Canis lupus familiaris: one gene and its partners. The protein of the gene in region 1 interacts with the protein of each later gene in a pairwise test. Links are inferred from orthologs where the notes say so. Each region holds a gene or a part of one and is shown on either strand. Other genes may lie near its edges.

Region 1 (4,018 bases):
GTGGTAAAACTCAGAGGAGAACCCAGGCCTGAGTAGTGCAACTTCAGAGTGCAGGGCGCCTAGGCACGGGATACAAACAAAACTGTCAAGCAGCTTTGCAACCGAAGAATTCGGGGAAGGTCCCAGTGCAGCGCAGAGAGGAACACGTCCTGTGGCACCTTGGTGGAGCCGGATCCTCAGGCTGCCCCAGGTATTCAGGAGACTCAATCTGTGCAAGGCAACAACACATTAGGCGCCTCCCAGGGAAATGCAGTCTGTAGATGGGTGTATGGGATTCCTGCTCTGTACCACACTACCTTGTCACCTCTGTAATTTGTAGAAAAGAAGCTTCCTATCAGACTTGCTTATCCAAATCGAGTAACCGTCCTGCTCGCCCGCGCCGCCTCGCCCTTCAGGCCAATCCCTCTCACAACCAGTTCCCTTTAACCCCAGCGGGAGGCGAATCCACTGTCCCCCAACAGACAGTGAAGACGGTCCCTCGGTTCTCCAGCAAAGCGAAGCTAAGCCCCGGCTTCCCGGCTTCTCCGGGCGCGGCGCAAAGGGGAAGGGGCTCCCGCGGTCAGGCAGGGCCGCCCCAGGCCTTCCCTCCCGTGCCCGGCCTGGTGCCCACCTACCGCGAGCAGCCTCCACGTGCCGTCCCCCGCAGGCAGTGCCCGAGCTCGCGCGCGGCCGCCGGGTGACAGCGGGGAGGCCGGGGGGGGGGGGGGGGGCGTGGCCTCCGCGCGCGGGCAGCGCCTGGCCCGCCTTCCGAGTTCCCGGGCCCGAGCTCGGAGCGACGAGCCCCCACCGGCCCTCCTGGTTGGCCGCTTCCGTTGCCCCCCGCCGCTCCATTGGCCGGCGCTCTGGAGAGCTCCGATTTCCCGCCTTCCGCCTCTCCTGATTAGTTCTCCTGTTTTCCCGGGTTCCCGGAGTTGGGAGGGGCCGCGGGCGCGCGGAGGCGTCCCCCACGGCCTGGGGCCTGGGGCCTGGGGCCTGGGGCCTGGGGCCTGGCTTTAGACCCCACTGCGCCTGCGTGCCCTTCCCCTCCCCCCCTCCCCCGGCGGCCCGCCGAGCCGCCCGCTCTGCGCAGGCGCGGTGGCCGCGCCCGGGGCGAGGGCCAGGGGTGGTGGCTGGAGGGCGGAGGGCGGAGGGCCTCGCGCTCGGTAAGGGGCGTTCGGGAAGAGTCGGTTGGGGGGCGGGAAGGGGCCGACAGGGGGTTCGGGGTGGGCTCAGGGGTCCATAGGGGAAGAGGGGCACAGGGACCAGGGGAAGGAGCAGATGAAGTGGTCCCAACGGCCTTAGAGCCCCGGGTCCAGCAGGGGAAGGCTCGGGTATCGGGGGAGACGCGGGAGTGGAAAGAGCTGGGAGCCTGCAGGCGTGCAGTTGGGAGGGGATGCGGCCGTGAGGGACCAGAGTAACGCTTTCAGGAAGGAGCAGATGAGGCTGTAGGGAGGGTGATAGGAATCCCAGGCAGGGAGACTAGGTGCGTTCTGGTGGGAGGGTAGGGAGACCTTGAAAAGACCTCTCGTGTTCTGGACCCCGGAGAGAGGACGGTAGGCGGCAGGAATGGCAGCTGAGGGCATAGAAGAGGGAAACTGAGGACAGCGGCCGGAAGGCTCTGGATGAGATGTCAGGAAATTGTTTTTTCGGCCAAGGGGTCTAGGCTGCCTGTTCCCAGGGGACCTGGGCAGGTGTCCTGCCCTACATGTGGCCACATTCATCTGGGCCCAGGCCTTGGGCCAGTGCTTTAATAGGGAAGGACCCAGGAGTCATGGCTTGGTGGTGTCTGGATGGGCTTCCAGAAGGCCTTGCTGAGCCATGGAGAAAACTCTGGAGATTGGGCTCACAGCCCCTGCACTGCGTACCTCCTTTCTCACCTCCGGCAAGGAAAGGCAGAGGCCGTAGAAACTTAAAGAAGAGGGTAAAGGCTTCCCAGAATTCTAAAAGTAGGAGTAAAGTCTAAGAGCTTCCTCTCGGCCTGCCTTAATTACCTCCATCTCATGGTTATTGCCATAGTTCTTCTATCAGGAACCAGGTTGGGTCAAGCAAGTGATCTTCGGGTATTTCCTACTTCTCTTGCGAAGTTACTAAAGGATTATGACTTTTGTTATTGTAGGGGCTTTCTCTTTGGAAGGTGGCCTGAAAATTGAACTGGGGTGTCCTTGTTTCTCCTATTGTCCAGGGAAACATAGATGGCTGGACACAGAATCTAGAGACTTCAGATAATGTGGAGATGTTTCAACCTTCAGGTCAGTGGGCCCAGGCAAGGGGACTGGTGATTGCCTTTCCTTAGAAAACTGACCATCTGTGTCCTTGTGATTCCTCAGGTTCCACTGGGTTGATTCCCCCATCCCACTTCCAAGCTCATCCCCTTCCAACTGTACCAAGAATGGCTCCCACCTGGGTTTCAGACATTCCCCTGGTCCAAACCTCAGCCCATCAAGATGTCTCAGAGAGGCGGCCAGACAACCAGAGACCTCAAGTGATCACGTGGGAACAGGATGTTTCTGGCAATGGGCAGGAGCTGGGGCGGAGAGGCAGGTAGGGATTCATTGTTGCTCTTTTCTTGGGCTTGCTTGCCAGTGACCCTTTTTCACTGAAATAGATTCCTTACCCTGTTTCAGCCCTTAGTTCCCTAACTTGTGCATTTTTGCATAAGCAACTCCTGGAGCTTAAGGATAAAGGATAAGGCATAAAGGATAAGGCAATGTGCTCGATGCTACAAATGGGGATAATGAAAATGAATGAGATCCTGATAGCAATGATTTAAAAGCCCTAAGGGAAGAGGTAGATTGACCAGCAGCTGATAGCAATGAGCAACATATAGGGTGAGAGAAAGAAGTACAAACCAGGAGTATAGGCTGTACTGTGGTAGCGTGGATTCTGATGGAGGACTTGCCTTTAGAGCTGACCGTGCTATTTGCCAATGTTTTTCTATAAAAATTGTGATTCTTACTCTTGATGTTTCGTCATGTGTCTCTTCTCAAATGTACTGGAATGTCATTCTGCCATTTTGCTCTAGAGTGGGGCTGCAGATGGGTCTGCCTTGGACCCCGTCCAAGAGAAAGGAGCATGATGATGAAAAGGGGAGAGCCCCAGAGTGGGTGTCAGGAGACAGAGACTCTGATGCTAGTTTGGCTACCAACTAGGGTCCTTTGGCCAGTTAATATCTCTAGGCTGTAGGGACGCCTGGGTGGCTCAGTGGTTAAGTGTCTGCCTTTGGCTCAGGGCATGATCCTGGAGTCCCAGGATCGAGTCCCACATCAGGCTCCCTGCATGGAGCCTGCTTCTTCTGCCTGTGTCTCTACATCTGTCTCTCCGTGTCTCTCATGAATAAATAAAATCTTAAAAAAAAAAAAATATCTCTAGGCTGTAGATCCCCACCATTTTAAAAGAAAAATCCTGTGGTTCTGGGCCTCAGTGGAGGAGGTGTGTCAAGATCCATGTTATCGTAAGCTCGTTTAAACTTTACAAGACACCAGTGGTCTATGTAACTTATTAATGTGCTGTCGACTCCTGGATACAGGATAGATACAGGATATCTAACACTCAATAAAGGCTTTTAATTAGTGCCTGGTCTCACTGTATTGATACTAGAAGCCATGATGACCTGTCTTTCTCTGAAACTTCCTCCAACTTTTCCTTACCCTTAAATCAGAATTCAGAAGTCTCTGGGTGTCTTCCAATCTCTATTTCAGAATGTGGGGCCTAATGATGTGCGTGTTTGATGCATCTGCCTGTATGTAGTTCAAAAGAGATCATGTTCCGTGAACTCAAGTAGCCTTTAGGTCCTGTGAGTGCCACTAGTGAGCCTAATATGCTTAGGACTGCCATGATAAATGACAGTGATGATGCAAATGCAGAGATTCCCCTGGCCCACCTTCATCCTCCCTCCCCCCATCTCCTCATACAGTAGCAGAAGGATCCTCCTCCTCTCTCTGTTTGTGACCTCCACCACCCTCCCAGCACCAGACAGGTCTCACCTGTGCTAACCTCTTTGAAGGTCTGTGGAGATAGAGGGGTCACAGGCCCTGAGCCA
Region 2 (4,871 bases), on another chromosome or scaffold:
GCCCCCTAGTACCTCAGAACATAATTTATTTGGAAACAGAGTCTCTGCAGATATAAAAACCTAAGAGGAGGTCATATGGGAGTAGGGTCGGTCCCAAATCCAACATGACTGGTGACCTTATATAGAGAGAGATACACACACGGGGAGAAGGCCACATGAAGACAGAGGCAGAGATGGGCGGAATGCATCTGCGAGCTAAGGACACCAAGATTTGCCAGCAGCCATCAGAAGCTAGGAGAAAGGCATGGAACAACTTGTACCTCACAGCCCTCAGAAGGAACCCACCCCGATGGCACCTTGATTCCAGACTCCTGGTCTCCAGAACTGTGGGAATATAAATGTCTATTGTTTTAAGCCACCCAGTTTGTGGTACTCTGTCGCAGCTGCCCCAGGAAACTAATGCCCGTGTCAATATATAAGGAGGAAAATTCCCAAGAAATGCCCCAATCGAAAATAAATTCATACTTGAAGACTGAGTCAACAGAATTCTATGCAGCGTCTGTAGATTCTTCTAAAGCTACTGGTTCTCCACTGAGGATGACGACCTCCCCACCCCCCCAATTCGTGCAGACAGTGGGCAGTATCTAGGGATCTTTTTGGTCGTCACACTGCATGGGGGGTGAGGGGGGTGCCACTGGCATCTGGTGGGAAGAAGTGAGAGAAGCTGCTCAGCATCCTACAAAGTGCTGGGCCCAGTGCACCCCCCACCAGCAACTCGAGGTCCCAGCTCAGCAGCACCCCTCCTTAAACACCTAAGTCCACTCTCTGGACCCTGCAGCTGACCTCCCCTTGCCCAAACCAGAGACCTTCCCCACTGCACACCCCCGACCCTCGAACCTCGTGTTGCACGAAAGAAGCCGGCGCTCGGGAGGCGCTCATTCCATTTACACCAAGTGGAAACACAGCAAAACAAACGATCGTGTTAAAACCGAGGACACTGGTGGCCCCGGTGGGTGGGTTGGGGGGGGGGGGGGGTTGGAAAGAAGCTGACGGGCTCCCCTGGAGGCTGGGGGTGATTCTTGACCTGGAGAGTTGGCTAACACCAGCTGAGGTGGACTGAGGATGTCTACACCACCCAGACATATGCTACACTTAAATCAAAAGTTAAAAACCACCTGCCCCCTGCGCCGGCACCTCCACGGACGTCGTGGGATCAGGGCCGTGACCGGACCTGCAGCCGGGCAGCTGGGCACGCGGGGCGCGCGCCTCTCACACGCGGCCTCAGTGTCCCCTCCGGTGACCCGACCCCTGCTCCCTCCCGCGGGTTTGCGGGGCTCTGTCGGAGCACAGGCGGCGGCGCAGGCCAGGCCACCGGCCGCTGCAGCCGACCCCGCGGCAGGGCGGGTCCCCTCCGCTCTCCGCCGCGGCTCGGCGAGGGGCGGGGCCTCCGGGGGGCGGGGCCAGGCCGGGCGAGAGGGTGGGGGCGGGCCCCGCGCGGAACGGGAACGCGAGAGCACAGGCCCTTCCGGCGTGTGCCGCGAACTACGACTCCCACAGCACCCTGCGGTCCCGCGGCTGGCCTCCGGCGTCGCGAGAGGAGGCCGCTGGGGGGCGGGGCGTGCGCGCGGACGGACGGAAGTGCAGGTGACGGTTGAGCTTCGCCGCCAAGCTGGGAACCGGGGAGATGGCCGAGACGGACCCCAAGACCGTGCAGGATCTCACCTCGGTGGTAAGGGACGCCCGTGGGGCCCGAGGCGCGCTGTCGGCGGCCGCGACGGCCCGCGTGTCCGGAGGCGCCGCGGGCCCAGCCTGCAGCCCCAGCCGCGCTCGCCCGACCCGGGCCGCCGCCGCCCGCGCGCCCAGCGCACACCCGAGCGAGCCGTGAGTCGCGGCAGCCGCCACGGGAGGGGGCCTCGCCGGGGCCCGGGGCGGGGCGGGGGCGGGGGCCGGAGCCGGAGCCGGAGCCGGGGCGGTCAGGGCGACCCCAGCTGGACGCCGCCCCGCCCCGCCCCGCGCGAGGGCCCCGGCGAGCGCCAGGTGCTCCGTGTCGCGTCTCCCCGTCTCAGGTGCAGACACTCCTGCAGCAGATGCAAGATAAATTTCAGACCATGTCCGACCAGATCATCGGAAGAAATATCCTTTGTATGTGTGGTCAGCCTCTGCGGGCCCCTGGCACCTGTGGCCCGGGCAGCGGTGTTGATAGGTGGTTGCAGGCCCGCTGCAGGCAGCCATGGGCCACGTACAAGTATGAGTAGTATTGTTAGTATTATTGTAACTGAGCCTGGGTGTGGTGCTCTGGCGGTTCTGTGCCAGGAGCTGAGGGCCCCCGAGCTGGCCCCCCGGCCCCCAGACGCCTCCAGTCGGCCGGCCGTGGCCTCGGGAGTGGCCGCGGGCCGTGAGCTGCGCGCTGGGTGCGGATCTCTGCTCCGGGCCCCGCCGCCACCTGATGAAGAAGTTGTAGGGGCGGCAGCTTAGGAAAGTGGAGGAGCTCGTCCAGGTCCCAGGACCCGTAAAGGGCCCCCGACTCCTTCACCGCCAGAATTTAGCCGTACTCCAAGGGAAGCCCAGTTTGGCTGAGACGGTTGTGTTTAAGGTCCCGGTGTCCCCAGCTCGGGAGCGAAAGGATGAGCAATGGCAGGTGTGTGTGGCCTTTAACTTCTCCACTTGATGACATGAGCAGTCGCATTGACGACCTGGAAAAAAACATTGCAGACCTCATGACCCAGGCTGGGGTGGAAGAGCTGGAGGGGGAGAACAAGATCCCTGCCACACCGAAGAGCTGAAGGTGAGGGGGTCGGCTGTCCCCGTCGGGCTGTCCCCGTCCGGGGCCTGCCACTGCAGTTAAGGAGGCCGGGCGTCCTCTCCATCAGCCCCCAGCCGGATCCCAGCAGGCGTCTCTCTGATTCTCCTGGCCTTTATTAAGTGGACCTATGTCCTTAGTAGTTAAGATGACTGGTTAACAGGCAGTCACTGAGTTTATGTCATTGCAGGCAAATACCAAGAAATGTGTTTTGTTGGCCTGAGAATTCTTACCACTGGCAGATTTATTTATTTATTTGTCTGTTTGTTTATTTTTTGTGACCAAAACCCCATATTGCCACCTTCAACTTCATAAGTGCCTTGAGTTCTGGGTTCTCCTGGGAACTCCCCCTGCGCTAGATAAATGACAGGACAACGCCTGATTATGACTCGAATGGATGAAGTTAGGCCGCAGTGAGCCTTCACCCGAGAGCCGCCTGGGGGCTCAGTCTGTTCAGCATCTACTTTCTGCTCAGGTCATGATCTCAGGCTCCTGGGATCGAGCCCCATGTCCAACTCCCTGCTCATGGGGAGTCGGCTTCACCCTCTCCCTCTGCCACTCTCTGTCCCTCAAGTAAATAAATCTTAATTTCCACTACATAGTTCCCAATATCTGATGAAAGACAGATAATCAACAATAGCCACATAGCGAGACAGCAAGATGTTGTGGGCCTCCGTAGTCTCCCCATGGTAGGTTTCTTCCTTATGAGCCTCTTCAGGAGTATGGTGGTTACCTCGCCGCAACCTAGAACTAATTTTGAAACTACCGTTTCTCTCATCCCATTTTTAGCATTTTAATTCCCTATAAAAACAAAGTTTACTGAGAATTTTTAGACCACTCTAGTACCAAGCAGAACATACAGTAAAAGGCACCAAATTCCTTTTTCAAAAGTTCTGGGCATGTCCTGGCTGAACCAGATTAGAAGTAGCTGTGGCATACAGGTCACTTTGAAGTCCAAGAAGAGACAGACTTGGGAGCGAAAAGACTTGGAAATTCACTGTCATTTTAACAAGAGATTGGGTTGACTCGCTGTGTGAGTAAATCACACACTTGTTATGTGTGGGTTGTCCTCTTTATTCCTGTAGAGAGATGATATGGAAAATGTCCTGCCAGCCTTAGAAGCTTCTCTGGGTCTCCTACCACCACATGGCGGTCAAAAGTCCCGTCAAGTGAGTGAGAACATCTGTGGAGAACTGCAGGATGGAGACTTTTCGAGTGACAGGGGTGATCAAGAGGAAGAGTTGCTGGGAATGGATTCAGAAGTTTTCAAATAAAGATTTCCAATTAAATCTGTTGTGATATCTTTGCTGGGGCATCGTGCAAAGGAAGTACATCATATGTCTAGTTCAGTAGAGGATTCTGGAAAGCTTTTTACCATTTGACAGTGGTACATGTCCATCTTCTCTGTCCTGGTGGGAGCATAATGTGTTGATGGTTTTTCTTTTCCAACAGGCAGCTAATTCACACTGAAGTCCGGAACAGCATTTTTACAAGCCGACAGAAGACCGAATGGCTTTCTGAAGCAACTGCTATGTGTAGACAGATTTTCTATTCTGAAGTGTGCGTTCTTCTTACAACATACTGTATAGTTAGTCTATATAGAGTGATCCTCTCCCCCAGTTTCTTGAACATGGTAATTCCACATCTTGGATCTTGGTCAGTCGTGCTGTTAAATATTAAACACTAAAACTTTGGCGGTTCCTGCATAAAATTGTCAAATTTTTTAGTGTATTTTTGTGAAGTCATTGTTTTCTATCATTCCTTTTGTAGTAGTTACTGTTTGATGAAAGTTGCTGTGTAATTTTTTATAGACATCTGGTAGACTCTTCAGTTATAATTAGATTTTGTGAAGTAAGACATTTGGCAAGTTGAGGGTTCTTTAATTCTCAGCACAGAGTGTTGAGCCAACACCAAATAGCATGTTGGTGATGCTTTTCAAATGGTTAAAAACATTTAAAAATTGGTGATTGAGAAATCTCTGGCACTACCCTGTTGCCAAAACTGAACACTGACCTGCAGGGTCATATCCCAAGTCCCTGAGGCCAGAGGCTAAAACACTGACGAGGAACCACTGCCATTCCTGTGTGTTCCGATGTTAAATGCAGAAAGTGACAGGACCGCCACTGTAACC
Region 3 (4,870 bases), on another chromosome or scaffold:
GACCTGGCTGTCATCCCATTAGACCGTGTGGTTCATGAGGGTTACCACCAACTGAACTCAGCCTATTACTGTGGCCCCAGTGCTGCTCCATATTGTCTTTGGTGCCCATCTCAGACGACATGCTCAACAAATGCTTAATAGACTAATAACTGAGTCTATGTGGAGACTCCATGGTGAACACTGAGAGTGGGAGAAAAAACCTGCCTGCTCTAATAGCAGGAGGAAAAAAAAAGACATCCCAATGGCCAATTTAAGTGCTACTGTGTCAATGCAAGGAAAGCCCTTTCGAAAGAGGAAGGAGGCAAAAAGGAATAGGTTTCCTCGGTAACTACTAAACATTTGTCAACAGTGGTAGCCAAAGAGTGAACTTTATTTGTTCCCTCCTAAACAGTGAACTTTTAAACAAATATATCTTCCGATATGTGATCCCAAGATTAATAAACAACAGGGATGCCTGGGTGGCTTAGCAGCTCAGCAGCTGAGCGTCTGCCTTTGGCTCAGGGAGTGATCCTGGAGTCCCCTGGATCGAGTCCCGCATCGGGCTCCCTGCATGGTGCCTGCTTCTCCCTCTGCCTGTGTCTCTGCCTCTCTCTCTGTGTTTCTCATGAGTAAATAAATAAAATCTTAAAAAACAAAACAAAATAAAACCAAAAACAAACAAAAAAAACCCTTTCCATTAGGATGACAAACAGAGGGTGGGGAATTAAGGACTAAGACACAGGTATAATATCACTTAACTCTGATTCTTTAACATACACACTAGTCCCCTGCCCCCAATAACTTTCTCTCACTGTGCTTCAGTCAAAGGGGCTTCCTTCTGTCTCCCTGGAGGGCTCCTGTACATAGCACAGCACCAGGCTCCTGAAGTGTCAAACCCAAGAGGCTCGAAAGATCAGTGTGGAGACTGCAAAGCACTAGCACGTAGGCCAAAACCCACACGAGTTTTGTTTGGCTCCCAGCATATTAGTTGTCAATTGTTTTTTTTTTTTTTTTCTTCAGTTGCCAATTGTTAAAAATCCAGAGAGATTTCACTTAACTGCATAATAACAAAGGGGAAAAAAGGAGAAAAAAGAATGAGGGGGGGAAAAAAAAAAAAAGGCTGGCTACACTTAGCCTGTAGTATTATATGCTATCAGCATGGTGGGACCAGATGGCAATCACCCCTTTGGATGAAGTAGGCAATGTCTTGTCCTCCTAGGGTCCCCTGTCTAACTTGGCTTATTTGTGTTTTCAACCCTGGGCTAGTCCAAATCTTACTGTAGAGAAACGAAAACTAAGGAACAGAAAGGAGAAAGGTCTTGCCCAAGTTTACAGAGCAGGTTAGAGATAGTGTTGGCTGACACAGGATCCCATCTACACCCCTCTGTTCTACGGTCCACACCCCTTGCTTGGATCAAACTAATGTGACTCGGTGCTCCAGAAAGTAATTTCCTCTGAATCCTGGGACAGCAGGTTAGCCCAAACATCCCCACCTCACCAGTAGCTGCCCTCTGCTCACCCAGACCCTTGGCTTTCTTCTTCTCCTGTGGCCTTCGGTGATCTCGGTCTCCAACCTCGTCACTGGTCCGGATCTCATCTGTGCCCGGCTCCCCCTTGGAGGTCTCCTTCTCACCATTGACCACTGGGGTCTCTGGCTCAGGCTCCCCATTCCTTGAAGCATAGGTCCGGGACTTGTCTGCATCTTCGGGTTCAGCAGGCTCACCCTGTGCCCCATCCTCACCTGGGCCCCCCTGATTGTTGTCCACACAGTATGTACTCAGGATGTCTTCCAACTGGCGGCTCAGCTCCTCAGAGACATCACGGAGGGCCCCGGACTGAGCAGTTTTGGCTTGTGCTCCTGTGGCAGGGCAAGATGAGCGGCAGAATGAGAAATGAGAAACAAGATGGTTAATTCCATTTGCTGGGATTTTTCAGGCCCAAACTTACTGGTTGGGGCTAAATGTTGCCTACTTTCTTTAAGCCTTAGTTTATTTACCCATAAAATAAGATTATTTCCCACTATTGCCCAATCATGTCTGTTATAGATGTGAAAGGAATCAAGGAAATAAAGCATCCAGCATATAGGGATGGCATGTACCTGGAGCTCAACATCTAGTCCCTCCCTTTCCCCTCCCTGCAAAAATCATTTCTTGCTATTAAAAAAGTTCTAAGAAAGCCTCCAACATGAAGAGTAGTTGCCCACTGGTGAATGCAGCATTTCTAAGCCGGGCTAGCTGGTTGGGTGTCTCATCTGAGCGCCACCTGACTTAACCCTGTCAGAGCCTTCTCTTAAGAGTTCTGCTCCTGTGCTTTGAGTGGGAGGCTCTATCAACACCCTGGGGAAAGAGGGATCTGCGGGTGGCAGTCCTCCTCTCATTCTACATTTCCTCCTTCCTGGGTAAACAGTGGCCTAGGCCTGGAACTCCAGAAGCTATCCTGGCGCACCACAAACTCCTCCCCCTGCCCGCTGGAAAGCAGAAATGGCACACACCCTCAGTCTTCCCTGGAGCCTGGCTGGAGGAACCTTCAGCTTCTGTCGCAGGAGCCGGCTGGCTGGGGCGCCCCTGGGTTCCCTCTGGTCCTACTTCGGCTTGCCCCGGGTTGCTTTTTGGGTTGGAAGTGTTGCCCGACTGCTTGGCAGCCCCGTTCTTTTTGTCTTGGTTCTTCATTGTGGTTTGCAATGCTAGGCTGGAAACAGATCCTATAGAAACAAGCACACTCGCTATATTCCAGACTTCAAAATTCTTCACAGCCTGGATCCGAAATCCCAATCCCGGGTGCACAAAGCTTCTTAGGACACACTGGCCGTCCCTCACCAGAGGGAGCCAACGGTTCTCTCTCTGGCCAGTCGGAGGAGCACGGCGCGCCCAGGCAGGTTTTCGGGGCGCTGCTTCAGAAGCGCGGCAGGCGAGGCCTCCTTTTTCTCGAAGCCGCTTCCCGGCACTACACAGCCCCCTTACCACAGGCCGAGCGCGGGATAGGCTCAGGGCCGGAGACTGACGTGGCGGGACGCTCGATTCCCATCCCTCCTCCGGCCCCCAAGCCCCACGTGGGCCCCCCCGCGCGCAGCCACCCACGCCCCGCGCGCCTCCCGTCCGCGCATGCGCACAGGACCAGCCCTGCCCCCCCCAGCCCACTCCCTCGCGCGGAATCGGCGTGATTCCCTCCACCGACCGAGAGTGTTCAGGCCCACCGACCTGCTGGTCGCCTTGTTCCCCCCAAACCTCCGCAACACGCACCTCACTGCCGACCTCCTGACGGCTTCGCCCGCTCTGGCCTCGCACCGGAAACCCTGGGTAACCGCTGCCGGCCAAGCCGCCTGCTCCTGCCACAGCCAATCAATAGCCGGCGCTCTCGCGGGGCTTGCTGGGAAAGATGAAGCGAAGGCAGCCTGAGGCGGCCTTTGAGGCGGGTGAGTTGGGCAGGCGGAGGGGGAGGGAAAGGACTACATGTCCCTCCATGCACCGCGGCTGACCCCCAACTCCCAAGATGCAATAGAAAGGACTTCAGTCCTGGGAGGCGGATACCCAGGAGGTCTGAAAGGAGCTAGTCATTCTGCACGAATACTGGAATCCGCCTGGTTCCTGTCGTGCAGAATTTATGATTCAGGTCCAGAGCCCTGTGCCTGGCTGTTCTTTCCCGCACGCCCTTACCAGCCTCAACCCTCTGCTGTGAACATCTATGACCAGGAACTCTGATGACAAGGGATAGAGCATTGGGCTGGGAATCAAGACCTGTATTCCAGTTCTAACTTCATCGCGAATTCGCTGAGGGGCCATTCTTTTCTTTCCCAGGCCTCATTTTCCGTATTCAAATGAAAACTTTTCATAACAGTAGTAGTTCTTTGCTTACAGTGTGCTTTCCCACCTACTAGCTTAATCCGCCTATTTACTAAGCTCAGTACTATTTTTTATTCCCATTTGCATCTGAGGACAGTAAGGCAAAAGTTAAATAACTTGTCCCATCGCTATTGAGTAGTGAGTAGGGATTCAAAATCAGAAAGTCTTCCGTTTTACCTCCTGGATTACCCTGACTCGTACCCAGAAGAAATTCACCATGGCACTTTCTCAAAGGATGAGTCAAGGTAATTTGGTGGAATTATTCCCCCCACCCGCCCCAACTCTGCGTTACCAGCTTGAGTCCTTCTCTGGAAGGGGTTGACAGGGCTCTGCAAGAACTTTGGCCTCAGCCAATTCCTGAACATTTTCTCTGACTGGCCCATCCTCTACAGACAAAATCGGAATTGCCATGGGCTCAAGGGGAAAAACCCAAACTTTCTCTAAATGTGAGATCACAGTTCTATATTCAGCTGTCTATACATAATAGAATAAAAGCTACCAACCCCTGTGCCTGGAATTTAATGTGTAAATGGCTTGGCTTTTGTTTCCAGTCAGTTCTGTCCATGCCCTTTGCCTTTTTTGCTCCCACTATACTCTATTTCCAGGATTTCCAAGTTTTTTGCAGGTGCTAGTCCAGTTTCCAAAATGCCCTTCTGGCAAAACTAGTATTTTGAGGTCTAGCACAAAGGTCATTTCAGACCCTTCCCAGTGCTCTGTAGTCTGTCCCAGCTCTCTAGGTCTGGATAGAGCCTTTTTTTTTTTTTTTGGATAGAACTCTTTAACATTTGTAATGAGATATTCAAATTATTTGCTTACAAGTCAATGAACATTACAAGAACTCTTGGCTAAATTGTATTCCTAAAGCCTAGCATCAGTCTGGGGCAGTGAAGACAGAATGAAATCATGCAAATTGAACAGTGTGGGGGCTCTTAAAGATGTTCAATTATTTTCCCCAGTTAGACTTATGGCCAGTGCTCTTCCCCATCCCTTAGTCTGCTGTTTATCAACTAACATTGAGAGGCAATATGATATAGTATGAAGGTGGAACTCAA

What was found. The genes of interacting proteins can lie anywhere in the genome.
Region 2: the proteins of CCHCR1 (region 1) and HSBP1 interact in binary tests that used the Homo sapiens proteins (3 or more experiments, as listed by UniProt). The link is inferred for Canis lupus familiaris from reciprocal best matches to the Homo sapiens genes CCHCR1 and HSBP1.
Region 3: the proteins of CCHCR1 (region 1) and TXLNA interact in binary tests that used the Homo sapiens proteins (3 or more experiments, as listed by UniProt). The link is inferred for Canis lupus familiaris from reciprocal best matches to the Homo sapiens genes CCHCR1 and TXLNA.

The regions. Positions count from the first base shown.
Region 1 is NC_049233.1:991,470-995,487, reverse strand, and holds the start of CCHCR1 (coiled-coil alpha-helical rod protein 1), read left to right. Parts: upstream 1-1,218; 5' UTR 1,219-1,684; coding exon 1,685-1,900; intron 1,901-2,095; exon of another isoform or gene 2,096-2,161; coding exon 2,162-2,228; intron 2,229-2,306; coding exon 2,307-2,520; intron 2,521-3,982; coding exon 3,983-4,018. UniProt on the Homo sapiens protein: May be a regulator of keratinocyte proliferation or differentiation.
Region 2 is NC_049226.1:68,974,278-68,979,148, reverse strand, and holds the start of HSBP1 (heat shock factor-binding protein 1), read left to right. Parts: upstream 1-1,504; 5' UTR 1,505-1,624; coding exon 1,625-1,669; intron 1,670-2,006; coding exon 2,007-2,073; intron 2,074-2,604; coding exon 2,605-2,723; 3' UTR 2,724-2,725; intron 2,726-3,825; exon of another isoform or gene 3,826-4,029; intron 4,030-4,192; 3' UTR 4,193-4,871. UniProt on the Homo sapiens protein: Negative regulator of the heat shock response. Negatively affects HSF1 DNA-binding activity. May have a role in the suppression of the activation of the stress response during the aging process.
Region 3 is NC_049223.1:68,417,387-68,422,256, forward strand, and holds the start of TXLNA (alpha-taxilin), read right to left. Parts: upstream 3,368-4,870; 5' UTR 3,219-3,367; intron 2,681-3,218; 5' UTR 2,649-2,680; coding exon 2,471-2,648; intron 1,838-2,470; coding exon 1,499-1,837; intron 1-1,498. UniProt on the Homo sapiens protein: May be involved in intracellular vesicle traffic and potentially in calcium-dependent exocytosis in neuroendocrine cells.